Arabidopsis thaliana: one gene and its partners. The protein of the gene in region 2 interacts with the protein of the main gene of each other region in a pairwise test. Each region holds a gene or a part of one and is shown on either strand. Other genes may lie near its edges.

What was found. Proteins that work in one complex are often made in the same cells at the same time.
Region 1: the proteins of Cand8 (region 2) and RUS3 interact in a protein complementation assay, tested with the Arabidopsis thaliana proteins (one large-scale study listed by BioGRID).
Region 3: the proteins of Cand8 (region 2) and AT2G28315 interact in a protein complementation assay, tested with the Arabidopsis thaliana proteins (one large-scale study listed by BioGRID).

What each region holds. Positions count from the first base shown.
Region 1 is NC_003070.9:4,719,978-4,725,039, reverse strand, and holds RUS3 (root UVB sensitive protein (Protein of unknown function, DUF647)), read right to left. Parts: upstream 3,467-5,062; 5' UTR 3,324-3,466; coding exon 3,202-3,323; exon of another isoform or gene 3,093-3,201; coding exon 3,035-3,092; intron 2,955-3,034; coding exon 2,895-2,954; intron 2,819-2,894; coding exon 2,780-2,818; intron 2,690-2,779; coding exon 2,627-2,689; intron 2,527-2,626; coding exon 2,470-2,526; intron 2,358-2,469; coding exon 2,294-2,357; intron 2,199-2,293; coding exon 2,115-2,198; intron 2,023-2,114; coding exon 1,940-2,022; intron 1,850-1,939; coding exon 1,720-1,849; intron 1,645-1,719; coding exon 1,552-1,644; intron 1,430-1,551; coding exon 1,291-1,429; intron 1,220-1,290; coding exon 1,176-1,219; coding exon of another isoform or gene 1,075-1,175; coding exon 887-1,074; intron 794-886; coding exon 695-793; 3' UTR 525-694; downstream 1-524. Other genes in the region: AT1G13780 (F-box/RNI-like/FBD-like domains-containing protein), read right to left, coding at 1-267, 348-359; AT1G13760 (uncharacterized protein), read left to right, coding at 3,939-4,077, 4,617-4,675.
Region 2 is NC_003076.8:9,571,563-9,575,752, reverse strand, and holds Cand8 (Protein of unknown function, transmembrane-40), read left to right. Parts: upstream 1-1,617; 5' UTR 1,618-1,677; coding exon 1,678-1,953; intron 1,954-2,396; coding exon 2,397-2,588; intron 2,589-2,749; coding exon 2,750-2,912; intron 2,913-3,002; coding exon 3,003-3,105; intron 3,106-3,189; coding exon 3,190-3,271; intron 3,272-3,342; coding exon 3,343-3,420; 3' UTR 3,421-3,687; downstream 3,688-4,190. Other genes in the region: ACP5 (acyl carrier protein 5), read right to left, coding at 3,764-3,892, 3,970-4,092, 4,177-4,190. UniProt on the Arabidopsis thaliana protein: G-protein coupled receptor. Plays a role in plants and microbes interactions.
Region 3 is NC_003071.7:12,087,079-12,091,289, forward strand, and holds AT2G28315 (Nucleotide/sugar transporter family protein), read left to right. Parts: upstream 1-1,588; 5' UTR 1,589-1,817; coding exon 1,818-1,938; intron 1,939-2,054; coding exon 2,055-2,239; intron 2,240-2,319; coding exon 2,320-2,387; intron 2,388-2,475; coding exon 2,476-2,608; intron 2,609-2,691; coding exon 2,692-2,853; intron 2,854-3,047; coding exon 3,048-3,317; coding exon of another isoform or gene 3,318-3,326; exon of another isoform or gene 3,327-3,402; coding exon 3,403-3,492; 3' UTR 3,493-3,687; downstream 3,688-4,211. Other genes in the region: AT2G28310 (trimethylguanosine synthase (DUF707)), read left to right, coding at 1-65, 156-212, 307-373, 464-517, 607-810. UniProt on the Arabidopsis thaliana protein: Nucleotide-sugar transporter that transports UDP-xylose and UMP in a strict counter-exchange mode.

The DNA.
Region 1 (5,062 bases), on a different chromosome or scaffold from region 2:
ACTGTAATCTACCTTGAATTTTTGAAGACGTGACTCATTGTTAAACTGGAGAAATCTGTCAATGAAATCAATCAACAGTTTTTCGTTGTTGTTCTGAAAGGGGAAATCACGGCAGTTCAAATCAAGTCCGGGAACATTAAGCCATAGATTCTTCCATCTAGTCGATAAAACACTCGTCTTCACAGAAGCTTTAGTCGGAAGGTGTAACAGTATTTGACTAATCAAAGATTCCGGCAATTCGCTAATTCTATCAAACCCAGGCATGACCTAATAGCATTAACAAACAATAAATTAATCGAATTCCAAAAACTAGGGTACAAGTGTCTGACTATAAACGAAATACTCACCGTGGATTCCATTCGCCGGCGGAATTATTGGCCGGAGTTGTGGAATTAGCTTCAGCTACGAGCTAAACGATGAACATGAAGTGATAATGAAAGAGAATCACAAAATTGAAGTATTTATACGTTCGAAGCGGTTCCGATTCCAATTTTTGCGTTTCCAAAAAAATAAAACGGTTGCCATTATTATAATTCTTTAATTTTCCATTAATAACAAACGTTATACAATGTTAAACCGACATTTTACGGTTAAACCGGTATCGGTTACATGTTTTACATGACTTAGAACTAACATATTTTTGTATGTTTGCAACGAGTTAACAAACTATTTTGATCTTGAAAGGCGATAAAGCTCAGTCGAACTTAGCAGCGGAAGTGTGAGATATCCAATTAGCTCTCCAAGTAATGGAAGGCGAAAGAAGACGCTCTGTTTTCCAACCTCCTGATCTCAGCTACATGGGAAACAACAGAAAGAAAAAGAGTGAAAACAGTAGCTTTAGTGTCATAAAAACACGGTTTAACTGGTCCTAGTGATTTAATCTTACCTTGTGGAGCAATTCGTCATAGTGTTTATCAATCCAAGCTTCTCCTTCTGAATAAAAAGATGTGCTCTTTTCCATAAGGTTTGCCAAAACAATGGCATGAATATATGATTTCAACACATCTGCAGGTTTTGAATCTTTGTGCAAGATCACACTAACATTTCCCTTTATGTGAGCCAATAAATACTTAGCTGCAGGAGTGTACAACAACAGACAAGAACCGAGCTTACGTCAAGTATGGACAGAGAAACTAATGTCCTTGAAAGATTGTGGAAAAATAAATCAATCAAACCATTCTTGTATGAAGAAGCTCCAACACCATTTAGCAGCTGCAACCTGCACACAAATATGTCAAGCTTGAGCCGATTCTTTACCCGAAAATTATGATAATCTAGTATAGAGCTTACATATCTAGACGAGGGAGAGAGGAAACTCTCACACCTAACTGCACTCTCTTATGCAATGGCTTTGAATTCGTTGACCTCAATGAAGTGGCCCACAAGGGCAATACACCCTCCATTGAAGAAACCTGTTCGGGAGAGAGAACTGGCAACACGTTTAGTTAAAGAAAGTTATTGGTATATGGTGCAATAATAAAGAGAAACCAATAAAAAACAAAGGAAAGCCACTGAAAACTTGAAAGAATCAATGGCGCATTTCGAAATTACCTTGGCCAGTTTGAATGAAATGTGTTAGAAGAATTGAACTCCTCTCAAAGTTTAATGAATTCAATACAAGACACCGGACAGCTCTATAGTTTGCTAAATATATAAGAAAGGCAAACAGTGAGAGAAATTCTGATTTGATCTATGCTTTAACCTTCATTTGTGACTTACCATACATATGAAACACGGTGAGAGAGAGAAACGAAAGCCAAATAGCCATAGGGTTTCCAGAGGTAAACCGAGCTAGCAACATTCCCAATGACATACCCATCATAGTTGCCATAGTCTCTTGGCTTCCTTCCTTTCAATAGATAAAATAGAAGCAAAGAATTACTCAAAGTTCACATTTATAGTTTCTATATCATTCACAGTGACAAGAAGTAAAGAGTACCTTAGCAGATATATCCGCTGCATTGTCTTGAAGAGCAAAGTGCTGTGTTAGAGCTGCTCTGGTTGCTCCACTTGCAACACCAGCTAATAGCCAAGATTGAAAAAAGTTAAAAACCGATGTATCAATCCAAACCGAAGTCTTAACTTCAATGTTTGATGCAAGAAATGATACGCACTAAATGATCTTGATAGGCTCCCTAAGCAAACCACAACGATAAAGGCAGATGGAAACAAAGGAGAAAGAAGGTCCATTAGCATTCCTGCAATAAAAGCAACAAAGCTTGTAGTCATTCAACTGAGAACCAAATACAGGCAATTAGTATCAAGTGTGATGTGACAACTAACTTTTACATACCAATATCATTCATAAGGTCAGCAACTAGGCGCCACATTTTTGCATTGCTATCCAGGTTGGAACCCTGAAGAACAGAACAGTTCCCATTAAATAAGAACGTAACCAATCTAAATCTTAAAGAAAAGGGAAGAGAATCGATGTGTATTATGATTGGGAAGAATCTGCTACATAGGCACCTGATAAAATGTGAACAATATACCTCCAAGCATCCCAGTAAAATCCCTCAGAAACCACTGCATAATACACAAGATAGAATCACTATTCTCCATTGCGCTTTATAGTTCTTGAGAGAACTAGTGTGAAATGTTATATGTAAGCAATGGAAAAACTCACCTGAAATGTAGCACCTATAACAGTTGCGGATTTCTCACCAACGCCAATTGCACTCAAAAGAGCCTGAAAATAGTCCAAATCAGAAATGCTGCAGCAGACAAATTGGACCAAAATAGAGAACTCAGAAGCTCAAAAACTTTAGCTTTAGCTCACCTGAGTGGAAAGCATCATCTTTGTATAAGTTGAGAGGCCCTGCAACAAACATAGCCGAGAGTCACAATTCAAATTTCACAGTAGCTATAAGGCATACAAGCATATTCTCACATACCTGTAATGTGTCCCATAACTGAAACCCTACATAATCTGGAGTTACACTGCCAGGAAAGCCCTGCACTAGACAAAGTACAATTCAGCCAAACCCTAATCCGGAGGACAGATTCTAAAGGGAAAAAGAGAGAAAACACTTGCCTCTGGTACAAATGCTTGAAGAACTCGTCTCCACACATGATTAAAGCGATTAGCAGACCTATGAATCACTCACAGGAGACGAAAACCCAAGAAAGTTTCTCAATTTTGTTGTGAATCCACTGAAACTATCAGATTTGGATTGATTTCAAAGAGGAATAAAGAAGAACCTTTGGATAGAGAGAGAAGAGGAGGCAGTGATGGTTGCTGTTTTGAATAGCTTAGTGGAAGAAGAACCATTCCATTCTTCAAGAGTAATCGATCCGCAATCAGAGACTTGTTCTTCTCTCATGGCGAATTTTGGCTTCTTACGAGTGAAAAGAATCACTTATTCAAATGTTTAGACTTTATGAGTGTTTTGGACTTTGTGTTGGGTTTCAATTGCAATTGAATAGTCCAATGACCCAAATGTGATTGGACTTTGGGTTAGTAAAAGGTACGTTTTTGGCAAACGCAGGTCACATGTCCACATCATAGTCTTCTTTTGGCTCCCAATTGGATTTCTAGATTTAGAAACACTTAAACCAACAAGTCACGGAAGTGTGTGAAAGGAATGTTAATGCTAATGATCACCATATCTTTATATGCTTTGTGCCTATGTTTCTAGGTTTTGATCATCAGTCACCAACTTTATAAATGTTGTTTCCTACAAGTTATCTCTAGAACACAGTTGTATCACATTCATCTTCATCTTCAGACATTTGTTTTCATGATCTTCTTGTGAGAAATGGGAAACTTGTTGATGTTTTGGTGACTCTTGTGTCAATTCAAGAGGGAAAATCTCATCGAAAGCAACCTTTGTCAGGAGTTGCAATTCATAGGACACTGTTTGATGTGAATGAAGAAGCTTATGTCAAAGCTTCTCCAACAGTTCTCGGATTTGATGTAAAGCTTTGTGTTATTTTATATGATAAAAGCTTTACATTGCACCTTTTTCTTTGTTTCTACAGTGCTTCGATTTGTCTTACAAGAGTTAAATATGTCGATCCACCTCTACTGTGTTCTACGCCTATCAAGGTCTTTTCCTCATCAAGGTTTACTACGAGGTTTTGTGCTTCTCTTCTCTGCAATGAGTCTTAAATTTCTTTACAAATTCTTTAAAGTTTGATGTGTTACTAGTTTCTCTTCTTGTCAGGGTCTTTTAAAAGTATATGCAAACATCATTGTATTATATTAGAATATATATATATATATATATAGTATTCAGATTCATTATTTCAACTGATTAGATCTATGGAACAAATTGAGAGAGAAGAAGACAAGATTCTGAATTTGAACAGCAGCTAAAAAGCAAGAACAAATTTGACTTTTTAATTCCCTCTCAGAAAAGAAATGACGAACCCAAAAGTTCTTTCTAACTTAAGAAAAACTTGAGCAAAACTTAAGCAAAACTTAAGAAAAATTTAAGAAAAAAACATTCCATTTTCTTATCAAATTAGTTCTAATATTATCGTAGCTAGTGCTCAAATATCACCTAGGTTCATAACAGAGAAAACACATGGTACATATTTGGATTTTGGCCACAACTATTTGAGAAAAACTGTATGTATGTATTCGGGATCACGCCATCCAACCATCCTTGCAGGAGCCATTAAACGGGACTATTCATGTTGTTGCGGGAGGTGGAGGAGCCAGTCTAGATGATTTCTCTTGCATGCAGTCCAGCTGGAGCCTGCTCGGCGACAAGGACTTTGGGTTCGTCACCTTAATTGTCGTCGATCACTCTACCATTCAGTTCGAGTACAGGAGAAGCAGCGACGCAGTCATCCACGACTCTTTCGAGATAGCGAGGGAGTACAAAGAGATACTGGCGACTTTCACTTTGTAGGATAGGGAGAAATTAAAATAAAACGGCTATCTATTTTTATTTTGGACGGTTAATTGGAATAAAAATATCTGGTTTATTTAATATTGTCTTTATAAGTAAGTATTCGTGTAATAAACGATTGGTCGATTCTTAGTTTTTACTTGCGAATCTGAAGAATCTGATGATCGATGACGAAGATGATTCACTAAAGCCTCTTCTTCAAT
Region 2 (4,190 bases):
AACATAGAACGAAAAAAAAGAGGAGAATGTCTTGTAAAAGGAAACAACAATCAAAGATGCATAATCATGTGATCCATGTTCAACGAAGAGAAACCATTTTGATCGAGACATCTCTTTCGTCCACATATAGCTAAATAGACCTTAATAAGAAGATGACACATCAACTTCCCTTGAATCCATTCATGTAAAACACCATTATCGCACAAGACCAAAACTCTTTATCTCGTTAAATTTATGGTTACTACATGAATCTTCTTACCTCACATATCATGAAGCTCATATGAATGTGTTAAGACTCGCAGACACTATGTTGGATGTAAAAGATGCCGTTGGAGATACATTTGTACGGCTAATAGCTCCAAAGTCCAACCACGAAGAAACTCGTAGATGGTTACCGGGGTAGAGAATTGTGCTTTCTTTGTGAAAAAGGTTATCCCAAAGAAGAGGAGTTTTTTCTTACAAAACAGTATGCAATCACATATTCCATGTTACTTGCATCTCAAGTCACTTGTTGCGTACTCCTCAATGTCTTGTTTACTCCGCAGAATTGCTACCAGTCAACATCCGACCCCTACTGTTCAAGGCTTGATTTAGCATGTTACAAAAATATTTATTCACTGTTGTATATCCAAGTTTTGATTTCATTGTTTTTTTTTAATATAAATATAATTAGCAGCTATAGTATATGAAGTGAATTTAACAACTATAACATGTGTATAAATCTGAGATTTCAAATATCAGCTACAGTAGAAACTCTATAAATGAATAATATTGGGATCATGAAATTTTATTAATTTATAGTGATATTAATTTATCCTATAAATTAATAAATATTATTTTATAGGATAAATTAATATTTATCAATTTATAGAAATATTTAAGCAAAATACAACACTATTTTCTTTCAAAATAGAATAAATGTCAATAGACAACTCGAATATCTAGGTGCAAATGAAGCATACTTAAAAATTCAGAGTTTTTAGAAGAAATTATGATTTCTGTCTATAATGTTGGTGAAGAACTTGAAGACGATAATGTGAAACTTTCTGAAATAGTGACACGTAAGGAAGCAATTATCGCGTCTAGAACTCTTCATAACTTTTGTATGTATATCGAAAAGACAACACCAAGAGTTTTTGATGCAATAAAAAAAATTAGAGATGAACTTCAAAGAGATTCAAATTTTAAGAAAAGACAAATATAACGAAAGTCATATTATACTAGATTATTTTTAAAAGTATGTTTAAGATTAGTAATTATTAATTTATGATATTACTGGACCATATTTTGACATAGAGATTTCAAGAAAATTATTATCTTATTATCTTATCGATTTTGGTCAATTTTTACATTGGTCCGAATTGGAACCGACATAATATATTAATTTATCATATTTATTAATTTATCGAATATTAATTTATAGAGTTTCTACTGTAATTTCAATTTAAGTGGTTGAGGGTCTTTTTAAGACAATAATTAGTTAGTGGTTTCTCGGAAAACTGTTGAGAAGAAGAGGTCCTTCGTTTAATTTACATTAAGGTCCAAAACTATCTTATATTTACTAATTTCAACCTCAATGTTTGGATTTGGTCAGAAACCAAATTTATTAGGTTTCCAAAATCCAGTTTCGCTCCTCCTTGCTCTAGCTCTGTTATCTGATTCGTAACCATTGATGAAATGCGAGTTCTCGACGAAATTGCAGAGTCACCATTTCTGATTTCACCGCTAAACCCTAATTCGACAGCCAATGGATATAGATGGGTCGATAAGTGCCATGGATTCTTACATAACACGGTTCTCGTTGCGGCTTCTCTCTTCTTCGTCGCTTACTTAGCTTACGAAGCGAAGAAGAGTCTGTCTAAACTCTCGAATCGGAGATCTTATATCATGATTGCTTATTATGGTTGTCTTTGGCTTGTTAGCTTGCTCAATCTTGCTTGGTGCTGTCTCCAGGTTTGTTAATAAAATATCACAACTTTGATTGAATTACAAAGATTTTTTTAAGAAAGATCAAAACTTTGATTGAATGATGAGTATTTTAAGACTATTTCTAGGTTCTGTGAAACTCAAATTAGAAACTTTTTGGTCATAAGGTTAGGAATGAAATCATAGTATTTAGTGTTTCTGGATAGGTTATTGAGTAATGAATGAATGTTTCAGAAAGATGACAACTTTGTTGATGAATGAGCATATTAAAGACTATTCTAGGTTGGTGAAACTTGAATTTGGTCAGAAGTAAGTATTTAATGTTACTGTATTGGTATAAGATGTGGGTTGTTAGGAAGATCATAATTGTAATCACGGTTTATGGAAATGAGCTAGTGATCCTTGTATCTATTTACATATTCCTAGGTTAGCTTTTGATTTGATTATCATGTTTCCGGATTTGATTATAGGGTTGGGAATGTACTCCTGGGAAAGAAGTTGTTTGGAATCTGTTAACTTTGTTCACAACATCTGGAATGTTGTTTCTGGAAGTAAGCTTGGTGGCTTTTCTCTTCCAAGGAAACTATGCAAGCGGTGCAGAAGCATTAACTAGAACGTTCCTAATCTCGGGTTTTATTGTTGCTCTTGATTTGCTTCTCAAGGTATCTCTACTTTGTCTACTCTTATACCTTCTCATTTCTGAACAAATCTTAGATATGGTGAAATGACAAGTTTAGGATCTTCCTTTTGCTTTTGCCAAACTTTCTGATATGAATTAGGCCTTACCATTTCTGTAGTCCTTACGGGTTTTACCTTCATTCAGGCAATTTTTCTCTTTGGATTTGGAGTGCCATTGTTTATTGACAACAATGAAAATGGAAAAACGTTCAAATGGGGCTTATGGATCATTCATAAGCTTCTACTCACTGGCGTTTATGGGATGGTGTTCTTGATGTACAACTCTAGGTGGAGAGAAAAATTGCCTGGTAAGTTGATCAGACGCTTCTATCTTCCCATAATAGCCTCCACTGGTTTCTTTCTATTTATCATCATTCATGTCTTCTTGTTTCTAACAGCAAGGCCTGCATTCTACAACTACATAATCATCATGTTCGCCTTATACAGCCTTTACCTAGTTGCATCTGCGTTTACCGCAAACAACGCGCATTTTGGTTTCTGGTAACTCTTATCTGAAACCATCCCAACAGAGAATATTGTCTTATGTTCAGCTTGTATCTGCCTTTTAACTCAAAATACTTGCAGGTTATATGGGATCATGAGTGTTTGCTACCACGCATTATACCTTCCTCTTCTTTACATAACGTTCCTCGCAGACTTTTTCCAGGTAATCATCATCATTCATCTTCTCTCACTGACTCTCTCACTCTCTCTAAAATGCAAATGGGTTTGCTGCAGGAAGAAGATTTGAACTTGGAGAATGTATACTACTCAGAGATGAAGGATGCTGGATTTTTCGACTCTGATTGGGAATAGGACTAGGGTAACAAACATCTTCCTCATTTTCTCAATCTGTAAATACACGTTGGGTAGGATCTCCTAGAAGTCATGGCTGCTTTTTCCGGCTTTGGCGGGTTACATTTTAGGGTCTAGTCTTTTGTATGTCTGTACTTTTTCCTCATGTTTCTTTCTCTTTTATAAATCCAAAATGTCTTGTGAATCTCTTTGTTCCTTAAGCTGATAATCTAAAAGAAAGTTTTGTAGTAGTCTAAAGATTGACATAATAAACCACTAGGGCAAATTAAGACATACAACAAAGCATGACACAATTGAGCAAACGGCAATAACAAAAGACAAAAGCCTTTGGTTGTTTCCTTAACTAAGCAGTCTTCTCTTGGACGAGTTCTTCAATGAGTTCAGCAGCCTGTTGGACTGTTGCAATCTCCTTTGCTCTCTCTTCCGCCATTGTTATCCCGAACTCTTCCTCCAAACCCATCACTATCTCAACCTGCAAAAAGAAAGCAGAATTTGTTGATGATGATGTCCAATGAGCTCTGAGATACAATACAATGAGATGATATTTACCGTGTCGAGAGAATCAGCTCCAAGCTCGGTAAATTTAGTTCCGGCAGTGACTTTTTGATCATCGGTGAGCGACAATTGCTTCTTGACAATCTCAGACACTTTCTCTACTGTCTCTTGCTTGACCTTAAACCACATATATACCACATTACCAAATATATTCAAACAGCCTCAAGAAAGTCGAAGAAATATAGAGTTAAATCAACATACTGCACAAGAAACTG
Region 3 (4,211 bases), on a different chromosome or scaffold from region 2:
TTAGAGCCTAACAATGGACTCACATGGGAAATGACAAAGAGGAGAGGTGACCGGGAAGTCCATAAGTAAGATCTCCTTCTCTAACCATTCTTCTTTGCCTTTCTTTCAAATTTGGTTCTGAATTAAGAAATGTGTTGTTACTTACTGTTGAACAGAGATACAAAAGAGAAACCAGGATGGTGTAAAGACCCACATTTACCTCCATGTGCCGCGTAAGTCTCTCTTTGAAACGTTCTCTTTAGAGCAACTCAAGAGTGTTTAGTCATTGTCAGTACTGAGTTTTCTGAAAAAAATTCCCTCTCACAGGTTTGTTGAAATAATGGCGCCTGTATTTTCTCGAGAAGCATGGCGATGTGTGTGGCATATGATTCAGGTTCGTCGATCTGTAGATACATAGTCCTAGTCTTAGTCCATCAAAATAATGCTTGTTGTTTTGATCAGTTTGTTTATGTTTCTGATGCAGAATGATCTGGTTCATGGATGGGGTCTCGACTTTGCGCTTAGAAGATGCGTTGAAGTAAGTTGTTTTTGCCCCCCCCTTGCTTACCTTAATAACACAATATTCTCTTGACTGATGATGAAAATTTGTGTGTTTTGCTTTTGCAGCCTGCTCATGAGAAGATTGGTGTTGTGGATTCGCAATGGATAATACATAAAGTGATACCTTCACTTGGAAGTCAAGGAAAGTCAGAGAATGGGAAAGCTCCATGGCAAGGAGTGAGAGATAGATGCAAAATGGAATGGACAATGTTTCAGAACCGATTGGCTGATGCTGATAAAGAGTATCTTGGGAAGATGGTGAAAGATTAGATTTGTTTTTCTTTTTTCTTTCTATATAATTAATATATTAAAAAAACTTTTACTTTTGTATATCAAATATTTTACACTAAATTAGGTTTTCATAGGACATGTGTGAAGCCCTTTTTATTGATATTGTGTAAGATTTATACATTTTGATTGAGCTTTATTATGTTGTTTGTTACTTTCTCCATTTCAAATTCTTAGATGTTTTTAAAAAGAAATTGCTTTCACTAAACAAGAGAGAAGTGAAACATGTAAAAAAAAAAAACTTTAGAAAACAAAGGTGTAATAGAAGTGGTTGTTATTACATAATCTTTTTGACTTCTGAAAAGACAATAAGAAAACAAGACTTATAACCAGTTTCATGATTTATCTATTTCACCCAATTTCATAAATTGGCTATTTTATATTTGCTCTCAATAGGTAACGTAAATGGTAGAGAAATTAAGGAGAAGAGAAGGGTATTGGTATGGACTTTGGAGTGAGTGTGAAGCTTTACACCAAATCCAAATAATTTCAATTTTCATTTTAGTTTCTATTTTACAATATTTTGCCCAATAGAAAAAGTATGAGAAATTCAGTTTCACCTTCCTTTTTGCTTTTAGTTCAAGTCAATTGTTTGTCCATAGAAAACCATACAATGTCTCCCTCCATTGGCTGTTTCATTTCAGAGTCTTTTTTATGGTTAAGAATTTGCTATCATATCATTAGTAGAAGTCTCTTATGAGGAAAAACAAATATTAAGCAACATCATTATAGTTTTTCTCATGTATCTTGTGCGTAATTATGTAAATGTCATAATTATTAAAACATGAAATTAGGAAGAACAGAAGTTTGGTGTTAGACACCAACCATTTTTATACAAACAAATAATAAAAATCTCATTATATCACCTTTGCATTTCATCACTCATCACATTCACAATCCTTCTCTTTTTCTCACATCAATATATATCTCTCTTTCTCTCTCTTCATTTGATAGATTTGAAGATTTGAGAGGAGAGAGAGGAAGAAAAAATGGGAGAGATGAAGAGTATGCAAATGGGTGTGATTGGAGCATTGTTTCTATCAGTTGCATCTTCTGTCTCCATTGTCATTTGCAACAAAGCTTTGATGACCAATCTTGGTTTCCCTTTTGGTAATTACTAGTACTTTTTTTTTTTGCTTTGTGAGAATATATTTTGTAAGATCTTTATCAAAAACCCGATTATTCGTCTTAGGATTGATCGCTTTTTTGCTATGGTTTTGTTACAGCAACAACACTTACTAGTTGGCATTTGATGGTAACATATTGCACACTTCATGTGGCATATAAACTAAACTTCTTTGAGAATAAACCAATAGACATGAGAACTGTTGTTCTCTTTGGCCTCCTCAATGGCATTTCCATTGGTCTCCTCAATCTCAGCCTCGGCTTTAATTCCATCGGCTTCTATCAAGTATATATCTTCGACATACTTTTGATCATGTAACAATTATATGATTCACCAATTTGATGTTTGTCCATAACTAATGGCAGATGACCAAACTTGCTATCATACCATTCACTGTTCTTTTAGAAACCCTCTTCCTCAACAAGAAGTTCAGGTGAACCAAACTTGATACATAAGATTATTTTAATTTTTATTGTTTACATAAATAACTTTTTTTTGAATGACATATTTTGGTTTTGCAGCCAGAAGATAAAATTCTCATTGTTTTTGCTGCTAGTTGGGGTTGGTATAGCATCAATCACAGATCTTCAGCTCAATTTTGTTGGCTCTGTTCTATCTCTCCTTGCCATTGCCACAACTTGCGTCGGCCAAATTGTATGCTTTAAGTTTCATTAAACTAATGTTTAATAACTAATACATAGTATAATTAATATGACTATGAAAATGTTGTGGTGAAGCTAACAAACACTATCCAGAAGAGACTGAACGTGACATCAACACAACTCCTATACCAATCAGCCCCGTTCCAAGCTGCTATACTCTTCGTCTCGGGTCCTTTTGTCGACAAATACCTCACTAGCCTCAATGTTTTCTCCTTCCATTACTCTCCCATCGTCGTGGTAATTTTTTACATCGTTAATTCCATTTATTCCCAATTGGTGTTAAAATAGAATTAGAATCATTGTCCTGGATCGGTCCAGCCCATTTTCGCATGGCCCCTTAGAGCCGTGCCCATGTTGAGCCATGATTGTATCATAACGTCCCTAGATAGATACTAAAATTTTGTGAAATTTGACAATGATGAATCATGCAGGGGTTCATAACGTTGTCGTGTTTGATAGCGGTTTCGGTTAACTTCAGTACGTTTTTAGTGATTGGAAAGACATCTCCGGTGACATACCAAGTCTTGGGACATCTCAAAACGTGTTTGGTGCTCGCATTTGGTTACACTCTCCTTCACGATCCCTTCACTCCTCGTAATATCGCAGGAATACTCATCGCTGTCCTCGGGATGCTTCTCTACTCCTACTTCTGCTCAGTTGCTTCTAAATCCAAACAAGCCTCCTCCGATTCCACTTTTCTTGTACGTTAACCACACAAAAAGAAAAGATAGAAATAATGAGTGTTGAAAGTTTCTAAGTACTTTGGTTTTATTCCTTTTTTGACAGGGGAAAGATAGAGATACGACGCCGCTTTTGGGACAAGAAAATGAGAACCATCATGAAGCCAAGAAATTAGACAAGCATTCTCCAGTATGAAATAGTACAATAACTCTTTCTTTATGTTTCGACTCTATAATTGTGTCCCTTTTTTTTGTTCATTCATTGATAATGTTTTTGTAATTGAGAAAAAATTGAAATAGCCAATGGGCATTTTCTCTTCTTTTTTATATTTACATTTCCTATTTCATTTCCTCCTTTTTGGATCTTACAAGGATTATAAAATTATTTTCTCTCGTACGTGTTCTTTGGTTTATGTTAGTGTTCTTCAAATGATCAAATGATTGTTTTCTATTAAGAAGATAAAATAAAATAGTATAGTACTAAATAGTGTTTAAAATACAATTAGTTTCAAAACGGTTTTGGACTTTTCGGTGATTAAAATGTGATAAATTATGAAGTTTTTGAGTTTATGGAAGAAAAATGATGGGCGATTTGACATATGCATATAATTATTATCGGTTTTTAGGATAACAGGAACCAGAAATTTCTAATAATTGAAATGCTTTATGCTCTTATTTTTCCTTTCCATATAAAAAATTTAAATGCAATTTATAACATATATACATATAGATATGTATATTGTTAAATATTACATGTGCGTTACGTCTAACGTTTACGAGAATTCATCCTCTGTTCACATGCTACGTTGTCGTTGTTGTTTTATCTTTCCATGAATAGTATATGTATAACATTTTTATGTTATGGTCTTATGGACCTACAAAGAGAATTGGCAATGAAACTTTCCCTTAAAAGCG